Linked DNA regions of Oreochromis niloticus. Each later gene encodes a partner of the first gene's protein in a complex. Links are inferred from orthologs where the notes say so. Each region holds a gene or a part of one and is shown on either strand. Other genes may lie near its edges.

The links.
Region 2: the proteins of ormdl3 (region 1) and sptssa are in contact, whole or in part, in a cryo-EM structure (PDB 7CQI), measured with the Homo sapiens proteins. The link is inferred for Oreochromis niloticus from reciprocal best matches to the Homo sapiens genes ORMDL3 and SPTSSA. Residues at the interface, in NP_001307730.1 of Homo sapiens: Val36, Leu38, Ser39, Ile40, Pro41, Phe42, Ser44; in NP_612145.2 of Homo sapiens: Ile44, Tyr50, Thr51, Val54, Phe55.

Annotation. Positions count from the first base shown.
Region 1 is NC_031973.2:5,869,248-5,879,863, forward strand, and holds the start of ormdl3 (ORM1-like protein 3), read left to right. Parts: upstream 1-5,469; 5' UTR 5,470-5,789; intron 5,790-6,355; 5' UTR 6,356-6,387; coding exon 6,388-6,561; intron 6,562-7,187; coding exon 7,188-7,339; intron 7,340-9,652; coding exon 9,653-9,788; 3' UTR 9,789-10,616. UniProt on the Homo sapiens protein: Plays an essential role in the homeostatic regulation of sphingolipid de novo biosynthesis by modulating the activity of the serine palmitoyltransferase (SPT) in response to ceramide levels.
Region 2 is NC_031983.2:4,403,145-4,414,135, reverse strand, and holds the start of sptssa (serine palmitoyltransferase small subunit A), read right to left. Parts: upstream 4,384-10,991; 5' UTR 4,249-4,383; coding exon 4,146-4,248; intron 1,877-4,145; coding exon 1,773-1,876; 3' UTR 1-1,772. Other genes in the region: eapp (E2F-associated phosphoprotein), read right to left, coding at 6,096-6,384, 7,265-7,393, 7,507-7,621, 7,732-7,863, 9,518-9,696, 10,925-10,991. UniProt on the Homo sapiens protein: Component of the serine palmitoyltransferase multisubunit enzyme (SPT) that catalyzes the initial and rate-limiting step in sphingolipid biosynthesis by condensing L-serine and activated acyl-CoA (most commonly palmitoyl-CoA) to form long-chain bases.

The sequences.
Region 1 (10,616 bases):
TATGGTGCGTGCGAGATTGAAACCTTCCACTTGAATTTAATGTCCAGGAAACAGATTCTCGTTGGCCTCCATCTGTGAAGTAAGGGCCCGATTAATTAATACCTCATGATGATAACCTCAATAAGAGCTCAATGTGCAGTATGTTCTGTCTGTACAGGAAGTAAACTGTGTGTACTGTCTTGATTTGTCTGTCTTTTGGCAGCCTTGTGCCACTCGGTGGTGGAGCGATTGCCTCGTCTAACAGACCTTGCTAATGCTTCCTGGAAATGGAACAGTGTTAAAGATAATATCAGGGCCATTGTGAGGACTTTTTAAGTCGGGGGCAATGAGAACCCTACCCTTAAATAAATCTTTTTCATTAGAGCAGCAAACACTTATCCCTTGGCTGTGTGAAGGGCACTATTGGTGTGTTTGAGCTGCTCAGCAAGGTCCCACAGGGAAGAGCCTAAACCCTCAGCGGTCTTCAGCCGGACACTGAGGCGGCCTAATTAAAGGGCACTTAAGCCCCACAATGTGCGGCGGTGCAAGTTGGAGTTGGTGGGGGTCCCCGGCGAGAGGGACAGAATTCATGGCACTCGTAGACAAGGGTGTCCAGGACAGAGGGACAGAAGAGGGCTATGTGCCAGAGACTTTGTTCACACAAGATGAAGAGTCAACAGCCTCCCCATCCCTCACCCCTCTTTAGCCATCCCCCCTAATAACCACCTTCTTCAGAGAAGCTGCAAACACAATGCTGTCCCACTCCCCTCCTCTTGCTCTCAATCACTGCTGGGACAATGAGGGGAACTCCCCCCCCCCAGCACCCTACCACCTTCACCATCCTTCTGCCTCTCCCCGACCCCCAAACAGACACTTCTTTTATTGAAATTCTTTGGTGTTCTAATCCTCCGCTTCCTCCAGGAGCAATAATGGACTCCCTGCGTCAGCCTTTTCCAGCGAGGCTATCATCCAAGCCTGCCTGGGTCACAAGTCCACCCCTCCTACTGGAGAAAATTACCCCGGCAGTGTCATTCCTGTCACAAGCAGCCCATCCACAGGCCATAAAACCCCAATACCACTGACCTTAAGAACATATCTGTATTTGTGGCTAGATATTTCTGTGTTTTCAGGTAAAGCATTGCTCCATGCGTTAATTAAAGGCGCGACACTGATTTGCCAAAATCCTTTCTCTGCAGTGCTTCCAGATTTTTATAATTCTTTTATTTTATTGTGCTTTTTTCACAGTCTCTATCAACCTTTTAACATTTGAACAATTTCCTTGTGGCTGCAATTCACTGAGATTCTGAACTCACGAGTTGGTAGATGTCTAGAAAGTGCTGGAAATACAAAATACTGGATGAACTAAAATGTAAACCCGCACATTTTCTCGAAGAAGTGATGAGTACAGATTATACTTTATATGTTGTGTAAAGCTCATACTTGCATTGCCTAGTCTTATAGTCTTGTTATCTTCATTTACTAAAGTGGAAACCTGGTCCTATGACATGAGTAATCATTAAGCAACGTGCATTTAGACAGGCATTTAAAAAGGCATTGAATTCATTATATATAAAAACTTCTTTTTAAACACCTAAGAAGAGGCTCATTACCTTCTAAGTTTCTTTGCTGCTCAGAACGACAGAAAAAAGCAGGACTTAATTATGATAATTAATAATTACACCTCATATTATATCACTATGCCTCCACAGTTGTGTCTTTAAGAGTAGAAGCATCACAGTCCAGACTCCAGGATGGCAGCAACCAGTTCAAAGTGTGTTGATGGTGACATCTGCTGGTCTTCTACAATCAGACGCTGCTGTTTATCTGCATATTGCAGTCTGATGAGTGAAATATACAGGTGCCAAATACTCACTAATCTTTATGGTATCAGTAGCAAGAGATGTACAAAAAATGACTTTTTCAAACCTTGTAGAAGCTTTTTTTAAACGGACCAAACTGACTGTGTATTCTTTGACTGATTTAGCTTAAACTGCGATATTATAACATTATATGGCACAATATACTAAAGAATGCAACTTGTAGGCCCTTTGAGTTTGATTTTTTGCCACATCACAGAATATATAACTGCTTACAATTTTTCATTCCTGATTTTATGACTAATGTAAGCTACACTAGTTTCATTTTGAAAAGGTTATGATTTTTTTCAAATTACAGAGCAATATTTGGACTTGAAACAATGTAGAAAAAACAAAGAAGCATTCAACTAATTGTTTAAACTATGCTATAACACATGATTTACATGAACTGTTTAGTAACAGAATTTCAAGGCAGACAACAACAAATATATATGGTAAACTTCCTGGGTACAGATTTTTTTCCTGTCCCATTTTTTAGTTAAAATGTTCTTCCCAGAATACATGCACATGAGCTACAGTAATGTCTGTAAACTTATGGATGATAATTGGATACAGATTTATGCCTTGAAGAAAATATTCCTGGCTAAAACCATGCAAAGAATTTACAGTTGATTCGCATCTTAAGGGAGACATGGAAATATGAAATGCATCTCATCATTAAAAGCTCTTGTTGCTGGCATGCATCCTATTAATGGAATCGCATTACATCTGAAAGACTTAGCTAAATGAGCCGTAGGCAAAACCCTAAGAGTAGAGAAGTGGAGTTTACAGAGGAATATGTCTAAACATCTGTTAGATTTATAGCTGTGGAGAAATGAATGCAACCGCATGACACCGAAGCTTTGATCTATCATCATCAGTGGTAACTAAAGTTGTAAGACAACTATTAAATGGCACTCTGGACTAAACCAACAGCTAATGATTTAAAATGGCATTTTAACATATAACAAAACCTGTTTTTCTTAATTACATTTTGGTATTAAGGTTTACCCGCACCATCATTTACACGAGTGTGTGTTACTGAAATCACTGAAATACTCATCTCTTGATGTCAAACGTGCCCAGATGAGTACTTTCATTATCCCCCTCCTCCTTATATGTATTTTATCAGTGTCATGTACTTGGTCATTGTTCCAGTGCCAGAGATGATCTCACAGCACTGACATGCATAGTTCTCATTTGAGCAGAGCTCTAGGTTTACATATCTGACACAACTATAACTCCCAAGGCTATGAGCACACGAGACAGTCCACTGTCAGACGGCTAAACCCGTTTGATGCCACTCATCACAGGGGTACCCTTGGATACAGTAGGTGTCACATAACATTTCATGCAAGCAGAGGACTGATGACCCCCTTGGCTTCAGGCTACTGTGGGCCAAAGTTAGTATATGGGTTTATCTTGGGATCTAGAACACGACACTGTTGATCTTTTGATTTTGAAACCACAGTATGATCCCGTTAGACATTTACTGTTGCCTCTAGCAAGGTCTCCTCTCATCTTGGCTACATGAAGAATCGAGAGCTTTCTTTTATGTGTGTGTATAAAAATTTTGCTACTCACCATTTTGGAATTTTTAGCAGCTGTGAGAGCGTGGCTGATACTGTTTTAACTTGTGACTCCTTGTGTGTTACTGTGGCAAAATGCTAGCCTGTTGAAACCTAATGTAGTGTCTGTGGAGACTCACTGTCATTGGGATTTTATCAGAATATTCACTTTAATTCAGTTTTATTTATCTAGCACCAAATCATAACAACATTTGCCTCAAGATTCTTTATATTGTAAGGTAAAGACCCTACAATAATACAGAAAAAACAGCGAAAACCCCAATATTAAGATGACCTGCTTTGGGGAAACGCTTTGGCGACAGCGGGAAGGAAAAACTCCCTTTTAACAGGAAGAAAACTCCAGCAGAACCAGGCTCAGGGAGGAGCAGCCATCTATTGTGACCAGCTGGGGGTGAGGGGAGGAAGACAGGACAAAGAAACACTATGGAAGAGAGCCAGAGATATAAAGAAAAATAACTAATAAACAGCAGAGGATGAATGTATGGATTCATTGGTAACTTGTGATGTACTAATATATTTCAAGAACTGTCTAAAGACCAATTTCTGTAGCAACTGGAGTGAATCCATTGCTGGATGATCTCTAGATAATTTTGTGTTTAATCTCTCTGTTCCATCATATATTTATAAAATGTTTGTTTTTCTAAAAAAAACAGCCCTTCAACAGCTTCTCCAACTTAGGGCTGTGGGGGGCTAGACTCTTACTCTGCTGATATGGGGGGAAAGTATGGTGACCTGCAATATTTTTTGTCCTTTGTCACATCCTGTAATTGTGACAGTGTCTAACATTTTGATTTAGTCTAGTTTTCCAAGGCACTGCTATCCAGTGGTTATGAACAAAGACCATCATCATAAATCATGTGCATGTTATCATCACACTCTCTTGCTGCCTTGGCTACAGTATGCCAAACAGGGGAAAACAAACAGAGGAAGTCACCAAGTCTAAAGCTTTGCAGATTTCAGTGGAATATGATGGAAAATACCTTAAAGACAAGCAAATGCAGCAACAATAAAGACTATGAAGCTACTTATAACAGGATGACACTGGTGGAATTTTTTGCCTTTATTCTTGTAATTTTGACATTTCACATGGTGGTGAATAGCGACATGAAGTGAAACAGTGCATGTCAGTCTCACAAAGCTCCTGGGGCTAAAAACAAGAAGTGAAATGCAAATCTCAGTATGTTAGCTGGCTACTTTTAGCTGCTCCTTTATTCACAAGGGGATGCCACTGCACGACACATCAAATATGGTGCCAGATTGACAGATTTTTACAGCAGATGACCTTCCCGCCACAACTCCTAAGGGATATGTATCTCCTCACTGGATCAAACTAGGCATACTTCCTTGTTAGGGGAATGTGGAAACAACTAAATGATGGAGCCAATGGCCAAACTAAGGTTGTGTTCCTACTGAAAGCCAAAGACTATTACCAGACAGAACATTAACTTAAGGTTTCTACATTTATTGATAGAAGGTGTGTTAGAAGATGATGAAACAAACCTTTTATGTTTATTGAATTTGCCTAAATTTACTCAGGGAACTGGGAAAGTAGCATTTGACTAAAATGCCATATTGTTTGTCCCCAATGTGCTAAATTCCAGGTCAATTCAGCACTAACGTCAGCATCTGGGCACCTTAAAGGTGCTGTTATAAACGGATTTAGTATTATATACCCAACTGTAAGGCAATTATTTTATTAATAATACAATAGTAAAATTATTTTATATATATATATTTTAGTTTTTTGTCATCAGAACTAAGACGTTTTTATTTATTTATTTATTTAGATAGTTATTTTTGTTTGTTTAAAAATAAAAATATAAGCAATTTAATTGTATAAACTATACTTCCTCGTTTTTAAAATCAGGATTCTTGTTATTAAACGTAGCCTATAAGTGCCAATCACTTTTCCCTGAGCTCCTCCTCTGCCCTGACGTCAGGGAGACGTAGCTACGTGTTTTCAGCGCACTACGCTGTGATTGGCTAAATAAGCTCACGTGACTTGAACACAGCGTATCACTGAAAATTGCGAGGAGCAAAAAAACTCCTCTGAAACGTGTGCCGTGAGAGAGCGACGATGACGTAACACCGTGGACCGTGCTGTGTTGTCACCAGCTGTTGGCTAAAAGAAGACGAAAGAAAAGTGGACGCGTCTCGATGGATTGCGTGTTCACGAGGGGACCGTAGGGCTTACAGCCACGTTCGGAACTGAAGGAGGGGAACCGGGCGACTAATGGAAGCCCCGCAGACTCGTCAGCCGCGCAGGGATAGTATTAGTTACATAACTGAAGCCATCGATAACGGAAAAACTGTGATAACGGAGTAGTGCCCGTAAAGGTCGGAGTTGAAGCCATTTTTCTCTGCAGTAAGTGCAATGATTTCATTAATTAACCCAACGCATTTGAACTTTTCTTGTTTTTTGCTGTTTTTGCTTTCATGCTTCACTTCAAGATCTTTTTAAGGATCAATTGTCTCCAGTGATGTTTCCAGACAACTTGCAAAAGAGCATGCTGGAATGATCAGCGCTTGCGACATTGTTTACTCTAGTCAATCAGTTGCTACTGAACCAGCAGACACCAGCTTGCTCAGCAGTTTTTATTCACGCACAAGGCTACTTCTTAAAATGTGTAAATCTCATTTGATCATATTTCAATGTTTTCTCCATTTATACCACGGCAACAGGCATCTGATTGGCTTGCAGATGTCAGGTTAAAGCCATCATATAACCCACTGTTGCTTTATTGCAATACATAGTAATACATGAAAGTCATTATTTCCTTTATGCAGTTTCATTTAAGGGCAACCAAGCTACATGATTCATTTTCTTTTAGTTGAGTTCACTACAGGTGTCTGTATAACCCTTTAAATATTACCGCTTACCATTAGAGGTTGTAGATAGTCAGAAGGTAACATCTTTGGTTTTTGTTTCAGGAGACCGTTACACAAGTCTTACCGCCGCCATCATGAACGTGGGAACAGCACACAGTGAGGTTAACCCCAACACCCGAGTGATGAACAGCCGGGGTATGTGGCTGTCTTACATCCTGGGCATCGGCCTCCTTCATATCATCCTGCTGAGCATCCCCTTTGCCAGTGTGCCCGTGGTCTGGACCCTCACCAACCTCATCCATAATCTGGTTAGTGGTGTAGTGGTGTCCCTCAAAGGACCAGCACAGCCACGGTTTGCCTTAACCTTTACTGACTAGGTCAAGTCAGGTCAAATCAAGTCGAGGGCACGTGCAGCAGAGTGAAGAGGTTTAGGATGTGGTGAATGAGAGTAAGTTGAGAGCTGAGTCAGAGACATAACTGCTTGCTGCTTCACTGCTCTTAGACATGCCTTTGGTTAATGAGGTGGTTCTTTAACAAGCTTCTTATTTTTTTTTTATTTTTTTTTTTCAAATTTTCATAGTTCCTTTTTTTGTCTTTTTCAAATTGGACAGGCCCACATTTCTTGAGAAGAGCGCAGTATTAACCACACCGTGATCCGGTTACACAAGTGAATTTGCTAGTTGAGGCATGGGCTGTTTCATCATGCAGCTTAAAAGTGTTCCTAATATTGAGAACACATCCGACTTTTACTTATGAGCTTTACAGCAGATTTAGATTTATTTTAAAAGAAGAAGAAGAGGAAGCCCTTAACTTAGTAAGTTAACTTCCTGGAAGATTTTGTACTGAACAAAGTTTGCACTTGTATTCACATATCGATAATCCACTAGTGTGGCAATCATGTGACAACAGTGTTCTGTTTTCCCCTTCTCTGTAGTGCATGTACCTGCTTCTTCATACAGTCAAAGGGACACCTTTCGAGACCCCTGATCAGGGCAAAGCTCGCCTCCTTACACACTGGGAGCAGATGGACTACGGTGTGCAGTTTACGGCTTCACGCAAGTTCCTCACCATCACACCTATTGTCCTGTAAGTTGCATTCCTCTGCTTTTTTGTTTAGTGCTGCTTTTTAAGGACCCCAAAAAACGCTAGAGGACAATATAATGGGACAACACCTGAAGCAAATATGTTAGGTCTAAGGAGAGTGTAGACAGGAAATGACAACCAGAGTAGGTCATCAGTTCTCTGACAAGGACATGATGTCTCACTACCTTGTCATCCATCAGCTATTTTGTGTGTGACAGGCCTAAAGCACAAGCAGCTCGCTATGAATGAACCTGTGTGTTTGTGGCTTAATCACAATGCCAGTACCTTTTATTCTGAGTGAACTTGCACACACTTATACCTCAGTGAAAAATGTATGCTGCATTATAAAATTGAGTGCTTACTATCCTTTGGCGTGAGTGTGGATTGATTAGCATACACACTGCTCCCTTATTAGCCAAGCCTGCACATTGAGAAGGGGCACAGTGTGTGCAGAAGTGCCGCTTGCTGCTTTCTTGGCCTTTTTCTGTCCTTATTAACCACCACAGTTCAGTTTACAGGAAGCACTCTGCTTCCCCAGGGTTTATTTGCCAGCTCAGCACGAACATTGTAGCGATAGCGCTTTTGCAGGTGTGGACTTTGTTTTTGCACTTATTTAAAGGGGCTCTTTGTCATTTTGTTTCGTAACCAGCGCCAGCAGGAAGAAGTGAGCGGTCAGTCTTTAGACTCCAGATGTAAAGGCTACACATCTGCTGAAATCTTCTGGGAGTGTTTTTGTACATGTCCTTACCTGTTCCGCTGAGAGCAGGAAATGCAATTCATCATTCTCACTTAACAAAAACCCCTTACTGCCACACCTAAAAGTGCGACTCATATTAAATCAGCATAGTTTTATTTATCCCAGCATCTCACCAGGATTAACACAACTCTGCAAACATACAGCCAGCACACAAGCCGAGTTTATATAGAACATGTATGTGGTTTTGGGGGGGCGGGGGTCTCAGGGGGCCATAATAAAAATAATAAAAAATCAATAAAATAAGTGTAGGATCACATGATGAAGAACTGTAAAATAAGATGCACACATTGCTGAATTCTGCTAAACTCTATAACAACATTTGTTTTTTACTTCTCATATTTTACTTTGGTTTCCTCTGAGGTTACAATAAGAAAAACTAGCTTACATCTTCCTCATTATGCCCCACTGCACTCATGCAAGATGTTGAACTATGTTGTAAATGTAGACTCTAATCTTTACAATCATTAGAATCTTAATATGTATTATATATTATGTCTCCAACCTCAAACTTTTATACCTTTATTGTGCAGACCCACTGTACTCTGTTTGCCTTTTTATGATGTCGCAGGTCGGGTTGAATTGTGGCTGAAGGCTCAATTATACAAATAATTTTTCAGATTGTTGCAAGTTGAAACATTTCTGTGATAAACACAAGCTTTATAGATATGTTGATTAGGTGTCATCGCTGAATGTAGAAATATTGAATAGGTAATAGAATATTTACTATTTATGAACAAATAGATTGTGTTATACATGAAATCTAGCCTTAGCTCTTTAGACCATTCTAACCACCCCCAATGCAAATGGAAAAAACGTTTATTGATGATGAGACAGAGAGCTTGGCCAGAGACTGCAGTGTGTGGAAGGCCTCTTGAGGCCTCTCGAGGATGGGCAGTGGCTCCCAAGCCGGTTAAGTCCCCTGAAACCTCTGAGAGAGGCAGACAGAGGAAGAGGGGAGGGAGAGCAATCAGAACAACTGCTGTGTGGGACAAGCAGGCATCTGTAGATAAGACCGAAAAGGGAGTGTTTATGTGGTCCTGCTCCCGAACTTCAGATAAATCATCTCATATTCATACATCACTTTAAGTGTTTTATCTACTTCTCATCCTCGTCAAAATTGGAATCATCAGTTAGCCTAACATGCATGTGTTGGGATTAAATTAGATGGATTTAGATTAGACTTTTTAGCTTGTTGGTGCTTGGAAGCCTAATGTAGATTTAGGCTTAGAGATTCTCATTTCAGCTCATTTGCTCATAACCAGTGTTGTAATTCTGTTGTTTGGCACGTTAAAATGGTCTCACATAACAACTCCTGGCACAGCTTTTGGGAATTAGGAAACATCTGGGCGTGATTGCCAGAATAAAACTAAGTGAAAGGTTTTTTATACTTAAAGGGACATTTTTTTAAGGAATTTTCCTTTACTAAAGACATTGTGGTTTTCTTCAGGCTTTTAACGGACTGCCTTGCTTTCATACCAGCAGAGAGAACTCTAGACATAAGATTTGTGTCCTTTGCTCATTGTAATCTTCTCCTTTTTTTGTGCCTATTCTTGATTCAGGTATATATTAACCAGCTTCTACACCAAATACGATCGGGCCCATTTTGTTGTCAACACTGTCTCCTTGCTCACGGTACTCATTCCCAAGCTGCCCCAGCTGCACGGTGTGAGGATCTTTGGGATTAATAAGTACTGACACGGCAGAAGAGGACACCTCCTTCCTGCGTCCCTGTGGACTGCTGAGAGCACACAGAGTATCAAGCTTCTGATTTGGCTGCAGAACCATTGGGATCTGTGGTCGTTTGGCGCCTCGCTCTGCAGAGCAGCACTCTAAATAAAGCCTATTGAGCATACTGCCATGGTACCAAACCCCAGGATGGAGACACAAAACACTAGAGAGCACAAAGGGAAAGTGTTCAGTTGTGATTATTTGTGGAAAATCTTCTTTGAGTCTCGTGATTTTTCCAGAGACATTTTAAAAGGATTTCTCAAAGTATTGTGTACATTTCTGTAGACGTTCTCAAATGTGACAAGTGCCGGGGGAACAGGACAATGTAGTTGTACAAATGTGGTGTGCCATTTTACACTACTGGCACTCTGAGGCAGTAATCAAAGTTATTTTGTATGTAATGATACGCTGCTGTATTTATTCAGCTTCACTCTTGCGTGTAGCTTCCTCTTCCTTGAGGTTTCTGAGCTTAGAGGAGAGCAACAATAGTTTAATGAAATGGTAGGGGACCTGTGAAGTGCAGCGGAGGCGAGACGCAAGAAACCACAAGATTTTATATTTAGCCCTCGCTGTTCTGCTCAGGGCCAAGATTGGGAAGTTAAGCAGCCTTTATTTTTATCTGACCATTTCCTTATTTGGACACCTCTTGTCCTGGTTTGTGCGCTGCAAACCTCCTGTCTGTGTGCAAAAGCACTCGACTGATCTGACTTATCCAAAGGTCCTGCAGTCTGGCTCTGGAGATGGGCAACATATGTTCACGTATGTTTGTTCCTGCTCTGTAAAAGTCCTCAGGAT
Region 2 (10,991 bases), on another chromosome or scaffold:
ACATTTCTGTGCTGAAGAAACTCTTAATGATGACCACAGTAAAATAAACTTGGGATAATTGAGCACTCTTAAGCATAAAAGGGGACACTGCTGGCTTTTCAGAGCAATGCATATGTTCAAGCACATAAAACCACACGTTACTATCTCACAGCCTCAAAAAGGAAAAAAATCGCTTCAGTTTCTCAGTAGATCAAAGTGAATTTACTAATATTGACTGTATAGGTGTTCTTGGTGTACTCTAGTTGCTGCAGTTCCATTGGTCTAAATTAGACTTGGCAGCAGATTAAAATCAAGCTTAACATCTCTACATTTTCTGCATCACCAAATTAATACTTGTGTCATTATGACAATGAAACTTCATTCAGTAGTTTGGAGGTGTATTCTGTGCAACTGATAACTCTATTTGATTTGCAGTGATGACAGTAAAACAGCAGTACCTAGTGGAGGCAGAACTGCTGTACCCAAAATCAAACCTTGTTAATTTGGCTTACAGCAATAAGGGCTGGAGTGTAAAGTTTTTTTTAAAAAAAAGGATAACAAATGGATGTGTCAAACACAGCTTTGTTGCAGCAAGTTCACACTGTGATGACTATTTATTTGATCCCTGGAATTTTAAGTGATTACAGTGCCACTTAAAAAAAAAAAAAATGACAATGTGTGTGGAAGGGAAAAGAGACAACTGAACAATATTGAAATAATTTATGGGGAACAACCAAATTTGGAATACGGCAAATTGAGTCAACTCATGTCCACTCAAGACCTTCAGGTGGGCAACAAATCCTTTAAAAGTGGGCAGGTGTTTTAGACCAAGATTCTCTAAAATGCCCAGACTGCTTCATCACACTTACATTCTGACCCAGCTTGGACTAATGGGATATGGATGAAAGTCCTTATTGTAGTGATGGAAGTAGAAATAAAAGCATTTATTATAGATCTGCATCTCCAACGTGGAGAATAAATCACTCATTTAACTCACTGCAAGTGCATTTGATTTGAGAGGAAGTCACTGAAAGTTACTCAGCAGTTTAAGTCATGCCTTTGACCTGTATATTGTAAAAGGATTAACCTTTTGACTGAACCATCTGATGATGCACACGATCAACAGTTACAGTGCCCGTATGTACAAACCATAGCATAAAAGCGATGGGAAATAGTTAAGGTGGAAAAGAGTTTCAGTTCCTAAGAGCAACAACTTGACAGCTTGGATTGAGAATCAGGTGCCCTCCGGATCTGGTCCTGCTCAGAAAATTGTGTATTTTTTTATTCTACATATTCTGTCCATCATCCTGTGTCCCATCTCTGAATGTAACTATGACAACAACTGTTTTAGTGTATCAATGAATTTAACAAAGTAGTCCTCTTAACGTACACACATTAAGGCATAATTGAGCCGAGAGAGGGGGGGAGAGAGAGAGAGAGAGAGAGAGAGAGAGAGAGAGAGAGAGGCACAGCACAAAAAAACATGTTAACGTGAATCAAAACCAAGCGCACCCCTTTTCAAGGCTTTGCCTCCAAGCCCAGCACTGCTCACAATCTGAACGTCAGTAGCAAAGAAACAGTCGTGAGAACCGTTTCTTTGCCTACAGTGTCCAACAAAGTATCTGGCATGACCCTCACAGCCAGATACTTGACTGTTGATACGGGATCAGTCTTGGAAAGGAGAGAATTTCTGCTGCAGAACCCCAGAGGACAGCAGAAAGACAGGTGAATGGGGAGTAGGCAGATGGACTGACAGGAAGCCACAGACATACAGGACGATCCGGATCCCTGGATCACTGGATGAGTTCAAAGTAGTGCAAGATGGCCATGATGTGCTGTGGCATGAACACATAGCCGGTGTATATGGCCATACCAGCCACAGAGATCAGCAGGGAGTCTGAAGAAGAGAGGTTAAGGAGGAATTTCTGAAGACATTCAAGTTTTACTGCAGGGAACCACACACAAACTCTAACTGACGTGCCTTCATCAATCAGTAGCTGGTAATGTGCTTTACATCCAACAAACACTGCCTGCTAATGGATACAGGCTGGCAGCCAGTTACACCTGCATGCAAATGTTTGCCCACCAAACAGTCAGTGACCTATTTTCCTGGTTTGTGAATAGAAAATATATCAATACAAGCCCTGCAAAATGTTAGCTGGCTTGTATAACAGCTGTGGCTAAAGTGTAGACACAAAGTCTCATAATTTCAGTAAGGCAAGTCAAACTTTAGTTGTAGCTATTCTAGCAATTGGAAAGAATTTCAAACCCGTTCGGCAGGATTTACATTCCAGAAAGCAGTGAGAAAAATAAATAAATATTTGAAATAACTTTAAAACTATGTACAGAGATAGCCACAATAATGCTCTCAAAATCACTGTTGAGCATAAAGCATGTTTACATGCTCTATAATTACCTTGCTAATGTAAACAGGAAAGCAGACTGTTGCTAGAAAGAGGCCATCACTTTGCATTTGCTCAAAGCATGGTCCAATAGACATTTTCACTGTTGAATGTCCTTGCTGATAGCTATCATACAAGATCACCACTGCACAAAAAGGCAAGTTGCAGAAGGCTCTGCAGCTCTTATACTTGCTGCTTTCTAAAGGGAACATCTTCCAGTAGGAAAAAGTGACACTGTTGTCTTGCCTGACAAAATTACATGCTTACAAGAAAAATTAGCAACCACATCATACACACATCTGAAAGCTTCTGGTTCTTTGAGGACAGAAACTGCTGCTTTTTATCATCTTACATGATAAATATACATTTTTAAGTTATGACTCAAAAAAATCTTTTACAGTACCGGGAAACTTTAGGTGGAGGAACTTCAGTGTTTATTTTTGTTCCATTTAGCTGTAAATGTTGTACAAAACAGATTTTAAACTTGTGACAGGATGTTTTGCAATGAAAATAACCTTGGAGGTCACAGCTCTCTACAGAACTGTACACCTTTGACCTTCTATCAAGTGACCATATATTTCCTAACAGATTTGTCAACCAAGAAATTTTGTCAGTCACTGACATTTTCCAACACTCATTCACTTGTCCTTCCTGATAGGAAAAGAAATAGGAAAAAAAAACCCAAACCCTCAAATACTTATAAAACCTACATTCAAGTACAAAAGTCTCATCAGCCACTCGAAGTTAAGTTCATCTTGGCCATAATCCGCTTTCTGTAGATCAACAATAAAATAACCCGTGTGATCCCTGAGCGACTGCGTTACGTTATTTGATGAGATGCAGGCTGATAAAGAGCAGGAAGACACACCTGATCCTCGGAGGGAGACGAGCTACACCCTGACAGTGACGCCAACTGTAGGAAGACGATACATCATGCACAGAATGTGATACTGATGACTTCCTGCACTGCCACAGATCAAAGTGCAGTCATAAAACCATCAACAGGGGGTACCCTCTAATTATTAACTTCGCTCAGTTAAAATTGTTTGCGCTTTTTAAAAACATAAAATTAAAATAAAAGGTCATACGTAACGTGTATGTACTTCACGCGACAATCACCTGACCGACTCTCTTAAGTAGCTGAAGCTAGCTTAGCTTTGATGCCGCCCAAAGAGTCAACTAACCGCACACACACTGGACTTGAAAGCTTGTTTTCTATATGAAAGGAAAAGTACACAGCACTACAACAAAGTGTGAAACAATCTTTAGTATAATAATGAAAGGAATTTGACGCTTTAATCATGGCTGTCACTACAAACACGTTTCTTTATGTTATGTCAAATAGGTTATGAACTAGGAAGCGGTTTAGATATTGTCAGGCACACACAACTTCAGTTTTCATCCGTTTCTACACAAATCAATCACAGGTTAAAACACATAACTTGTAGAATAACATTTAAAGCCGTCTCTACAATGTGGCGGACGAGTGTTCAATTCAGAATTGGCTAAGCTGTGAACTCTTTAGGTTTCAACGATAAGAAGGGCCGACTCGGTCTATATGCCGAATTTGCCATAAATCACCGCTCGTGTGTTTAAATGCTGTAAATGGTTTATACAAAAAAAGTGAAGCTATGTTTACTTTTACGTAAAGTTAGCGCTATCAGTGAAATATCTAGGTCAGTCAGGCTAGCGTTCAGCTAAAGTTAGCAAATTAGCTAGGTCGAACATCCCTTCAGAAGCCACTTCAACACGGAAAAAGGATACTGAACACCGTCCTCTCCCAGGGCTCCAGCATGTACAAGGCTGTCACCAGAAGATACTGGTAATAAAACCAGGATAACTGCTTCCAACATTCTCCAAGTGCCATGGTCCTAACTTTTAAAATGAACTTTGTTCCTTCCTCACGGCTCTTATCCTCTTTATGTTTCGTGCTGAGGTGTTTTCTGCTCGCGTAAGGTTTAATCGCGAGGCGCTGGTTTCCGGCAAATCACAACTCCGCGTTCAACCGTATGATTGTGACGCAGACCAGGGTGTTCCACCTTCCTAATTTCAAAATAAGAGTCAAAAACAACTTTTAACACCACATAAAAGATGCATTTATACACTATTTTTATTTGCTTGTTTATCTTTACCTTAACTGTGTGCCCATCTCTTCATTTAGTGTATTTCCTTCCATTAAGCATCAAATATCTTGGTTCTTTAAAACAGATTTCGAGTCACCCCCCAAACCAAAGCGCTCTACTGACCCAAATACTCACTAAAGCACTAAATGTGGATTATTCCATGGCTGAATAGATTCCCCAACAAAATGCTATACTCCCCAGTTTGAAGAACATTTGCGTAGGAAGTACAGGTATTTATGAAATCAGTTAACTACCATTTAAACGGCAGGAATCTATATTATGATCATGCCAACAGTGTATAAGTGAGGCAGACAAAGCACTGTTTCTATGCCTACAATTGTGATGGACATCAGAACATTTACTTACCGAAGCCATAACTGTAGCAGCATATACCGAAAATTACCCATCTCAGAAGAGATTATTTGTCAATGTTGACAAATAATTTCAAAATCAGACATGAAAAAGAAAAAATGATGCAGCCTTTCAAAAGTTTCAGAAAACTGTATTCTTTGTATTAAATTTTTTTTTTTAAAAAGCAGCAAATGTAAAACTTTTAGAAGTCTCAACTTTCAGTGTCAGTGTGATTTAGTCTATATTATTTATGGCCACAATTACTAGACAGGCCAAATTAGCATGATGGCAAAATTGCAAAAATACACTGATGGTAGTAGAAAGTTCTGTGGTTGCTCTACTAACAATGCACAATAACGACCAGCATTGTAACTACAGCGGTGTAAATTGGTTGAAAACAAGCAGACACTATGAGTGTTGAAGTATTCTGCTAACAAAATAACACAAAATCTAATAAAACAAAGCACAGGTTTGATCATGTTCTTGTTAATAGAAACAGCATTGTAATTCAGATTAATGAGGGAAGCTAAAGGAAAATCAATGTTTTAATATAGGGGCTAACTAATCCTGTCAGAAATTGCTGAGGAATTTGTGTAATCATGTGGGAGGAGGTGAGGTGCAGGATTCATACAGAGGAGACCTGCACTATGAAATCTAAATGCAACAGCTGACCTGTACCTTAATAAATCAGATTTGTGTGACCAATTTAAACATTTGTGCTCTTCAAATTACACACGCAGTAAGACAAGCCACAAAAACACTGGAGTCAACGCCAATAGGTTGTGTTCAGGCACAGCACTTAAAGTTTTACAGACATGAGCTGGGACAATTTTTCTAATCCTGAAAAGAATTTCATTTTAGTTATCTGTGGAACAATGTGTTCAAAATATGGATGATAAACGTGATCAGGTGAAGCTTTACACACAGACTGATTTGCCATCTCAGCCGTGACACTGAAGGAAAAATCTAGTAAAAACTGTTGTAACTGCTGTAAACACAACACTGACAAGTTATCACTGGCGCCATGATCTTATTTGCAAAAAAAAAAAGAAGATGGACATTTACACATCCTGCAAATACAGAACAATAACAGCGTTAATTTAAAGTGATGAGCACACGTCCAGTGTTCACTCCCCTTTAGCTCTGCTTTGGTGAGCATTTTTGGATATAAAGACACTGATCTGAGCCACGAGGTGTGAAGCCAGAGAAAAAGTCCAGCTCAGAGCTCGTTCAGTCCTTATCAGCAGTGGCTGGCCAGGATGTTGAAGAAGTGGTAGACCTCATCTTTATCGAACACGGCCACCTCAGTGGAGCACTCAGAGCACTGTACTGGGTGGTACACCTCATCAGCATCCATCCCCATTGCTGCTGGAGTCTCATCCGCAGGCGTTTCTGTCTGCTGTCCCCTCCTCCTCTTCCTGTTCCTCCGGTTCTTCTCCTGCTGGTTTTTGTAACGCAGCACCTCCTCTCTCTTGACTGTGCAGTTCATCACAAACATTGCTCGATACTGCGTCCGGTACTTCTCGTGCCTGAATGGACCCAACAGAGACGTGTCGTTACATTTTAAAATGACAAAATCTCTATAGTGAAAATTTCTCATTGGGCAGGCAGATAATTTTCAATCACTTCAAATCTTTCTTTAAAAAAAACAAAAACAACAAACAAAAAAAAAACTGATCTAGAGTATAAAATGGCTCACATATCTTGTGTTGTCAAAACAGCTTTCACTGTGATACTATGATCCCTAATCCAACAATACGGGACAGGGACATGTAATGGGAGTTGGGCAATGGCCCGTTGGCTCTCCTTAGTCAGCAATAACTAGTTTTTATTAATGTTTTCATCACATATTTAATCATTCCAGCTTTTCAAACATGGGAACTAGTCCTGTGCATATATGAAAACATGGGTGTAGCTTTGGTGTCACATTAGGAATAGAAAGCGGCTTTATTGAATACAACATGATGTTGTTCTCAATCACAACTTGTGACCTCAGCTCTCCTGAAATATCTTGCATGTGACACTTTGGCACGCTGTGCATAAACAAGAAAAAATACAAACACTGCAAAACAATCAAGAATATAAGAAATCATGACCTCTGGAATATTTGTTTCAAATGAAATGAAAACTTTTCTAAAAAGTCAGTATTATTAAGTTCTAGTAGTTTTCCCTATGCTGGACTGAATCTCCACCATGTAGGACATTAAGCATGTTTTAGTGTGGTAAAAAAGAAACTAACACTCTTGGCGATTATCAGACAGGGTATATGTAACACTACTCCATCATCAGTCAGACTTTCTCAGATGGATTCTGCTCTCTGATCTCAGGTAACATTAGGCCGACACCTTAAACTGCTGCTGGGTTAACACAGGGATCCACACTGTTCTGAAACCTGCTGTGGAGCCTCACCTCTGACAGTCCAAGCAGAGTGTCGTCATGCATGCGGGACAGTTAAGAACAGCGTCGCTGTGGGGTAAAGCCTGAGGGTGGCGAAGCTTTGAGTGAAAAGCTGCAGCAGGTCGTTTTCTTCTGCTGTACCTACACAGGAAGGTAAGAGGCAGAATGAGTCTCTGGAGGGAAATTTTTTAAAAAAAAGAAGCAAAAACATCTGGTGGCATGTGTTTTAGAAATTGTAAGAGAATCTGTGTTACTCTCTCCTCCTGGCGTCAACCCAGGCCTGGTCTCTGTCATCCTGGTCGGGGTCGTACAGCAGCTCGTCATTGGTCGGAATGACCCGCTGTCTCCGCCTCTGGCTTGTGGAGCTGCCTACAGAAGAAATTTCAAAAACTGTTAGTGGTAGGCTGTACATGTACTCTGTCATCTAATGACATCTTAATGACTGTTGGTAACCACAGCAGGAAAACCAGTTCTCTTACTCGGTGTGCCGTCTTCCTCTGAGTCAGAGTCAAAATAAACCTCATCATACATCTGTGGGTTAGAAAGTCCAGGACCACCACCAGCACCTCCTCCCCCTTCTTCTTCTCCTCCTCCTGGTCTTTTTGAGGTCTCTACCAGAGAACAAATACACAACTCGTAAGCACAAACTGTATTTACAGAGACGGTCTGTCTCACACAGCAAGATAAGTTAGTTAGTTAACCGTGGGATTAAACTTGGCTTCTTCCTATGTCAACACACTACTCTTCCTAGTACTTGTTTTGTTTGTTGTATTGTTGAGCTTATACTGTGTTCCAGATACCTTAGATGTCGGAACTCAGGAGTGATGTCATTCCCGAGTGCATTACAGTATAAAATTGTAAAAGTGAAAAACTAGGAACTTCACTAGAACTGAAGAAGCTTCTTGGATGAGAAGTGAAAAGTCTTCAAGCAACTTAAAGAAGACCAGATGCTTTTCTTTCCAAGCTCCTTAGACTACGATGACCTGGATTACTGAGAACCTTCACAGACACACAGGTGATTATTTTAACATATTTTCATTAAAAATGCTCCAAACAACAACATCACAAACACTGTCAGCTCATTCAATGACTAGAATTAGCTAAGATTAAGCTTAACACACAGCTTTTGGCTATAGCTGCCATCTAGAGCTGGGCGATAAAACGATAACGATATGTATTGCGAAATAACTTTTTCTCGATAGAAAAATTAAACTATTGCGATAGGCCTCATCTCTCTTGTCCTCTTAAAAAAAACAAAAAAACAACAGCCAATCCAAATTAAGTAGCGCAGAGCCGAACCAATCACAGCCGCAGCGTCACGTCACGTGACTTGTTACGTACAGCACAAGCGCCAAGGCGCACATGTGTATTTGTTTTTGCAGCCGTGCAGCCCAGGTAATGAAGGAAATGAGTTTGCCGACTAGAGAAAAATCAACCGAGAGCGTGAGCGAAGGTTACCAAAGAAAAAACAGATGATGGTTCCAATGCCGGAGAGCTTGTCGAACGGAAGGGCCACAGAAGTTCCGTAGTGTGAAGGTATTTCGGCTATTTCAAGTCTGACAAAAAACAGAGTAGCGCGCACTGTAAATTGTGCCGAAAGCAAGTCTGGAAATACAATAAAGCGGTGCATGCTCAATCTCTGACTGAAAGCGCTAATTCGTCATTCGGCTTTTGTCAGACTAAAGTAACTGTTAAAACTGTTTGAAAAGCTAAGCTATACAACAAGGAGAGATTGAGAATTTTCTTTTAGTTCTCAGTTTATTTGATATTGACAAAAGTTAGTCAATTTTGTCTGTTCTTCTGTAAAACAACCTAAGATTTATTTTTAGAATTAATATTTTGTTTCTAAGTGGAATTGACAATTTAGTAGTCTGTTTTGTTTGTTCTATTTTGAAACTTAAATGCTTTAGCGGCTGCGTTTTGTGTAGTTTGCAATATTTGCCTTTATTTATCTGAAACTGAAGTCTCATGTTCCTTAAGTACATCTGCCCTGTTAAACTTATTATGGGAAATAAATATTTTAATTAAAACAAGCTGCTAATTATTTCACATTTTACTTGTGAGCAACGGCACATTTAAATCTTACAAATATAGTTATTTGGCTTATATCGTGAAATATATCGTTATCGCCTGAAATGAAAAAAACATATCGTGATATGAAAAAAATCTTATATCGCCCAGCTCTACTGCCATCTAATCAGTTGATAGCAAAGTAATTCCAGACATATCACTATGAAAATACAAATACTAGCAGCTGAGTGTTACCTGCTGCTGGTACCCAGGTTCCCTGCATGGTCTTGATGGTGGAGCTGAGCTCTGCCTCCATCTCTTTTTCAAAATCATCCTCGCTGGATGACTCGCTCTCCCCGGTTAGATACTCTCTGATCAGCTTCTTTTTCTGGTCCGGAGTCCCGTTCAGGAGCACGTCCAACTCATCCTCCGAACTAAAACAGAGAGAAAGATTTCAGAAAAAAAAACAGACTCTCAAACCCAGGAGATTACTAAATTGAAGTAACCATTCATGTGTTATTCTGCACATGTGACATTATATCATGTGGTGGCATCGTATAGTGTTTAACAGACCAAATAATTAAGCACTTAATTTTGGAAACCATTAATCCACGTCGAAACTGTCGCTTTAAGCTTAGCTCAAAACCAAAATAAGTTGCCTGTACTCACTAAATCCATCGGTACATACATATTTGCTGCTTTAATAATGAAATTTCATATCTTCAGGTAGACAAGTTCTTTTGAAGTTTTGGACTTCTGATTGGACACATCAAGACGTCTCAGGACATCACTTATAAATATTAATAATTATGACGTCTTGCTTAATTTTCTCTAATTAAGTGCCATAATAATAAATCCAGAAAATTCTTGGCTAATTACGGCAATAATAAGTATCTGCACTCGTGTTTTTATTTTCTTCTCATCCGCTTGCCTGTAACATTTAGACTTATAAAAATCTGCCGCCTTTCTATAATCAGAATCAGAATACTTTATTGATCCCTAGGGGAAATTATTTTTCGTTACAGTGCTCCATTATAAACAAACACTAACAAAGACAGACAATACACCAACTAAGAATAGCTGAAAAGAACATGTGCAAGAAGGGTGTAGCTGTTGCAGTAAACAGTGTGTTAAGTGGAGGAGTTGTACAGGGAGATGGCCACAGGCAGGAATGATTTCCTGTGTCGTTCAGTGGTGCTTTTCGGTAATCTCAGTCCCCCACTGAACGTGCTCCTGTGACTGACCAGCATGTCATGGAGTGGGTGGGAGGTGTTATCCAACATTGTCTTTATCTTGGACAACATCCGCCTCTCCGACACCACCTTGAGGGAGTCCAGCTCCATCCCCACAACAATACTGGCCTTACGAATCAGTTTATCGAGTCTGTTGGCATCTGCGACCCTCAGCCTGCTCCCCCAGCATGCAACAGCATAGAGGATTGCACTGGCCACAACAGACTCATAGAAAATCCTGAGCATCATAATCATAATTAATGATAATTAAGCAGTAACATCCATGTCACGTTAAAATAAATTCACCGCAAAGAGCGGCTCAGCGCAGTCTCCCTGCTATTCCAGTTTGTTTACATGTTAGCTCCCAGCTAGCTATCTCCACTTTAGCCTAATCGGCCCCTAAAAATAAACACACGTATTATCCTCGCACCTGCTGGCGGCCCGCTCTTCGTCGCTCGGCTCTTCGATCTCATATGACTCAAAGTCTTGTGCTTGAC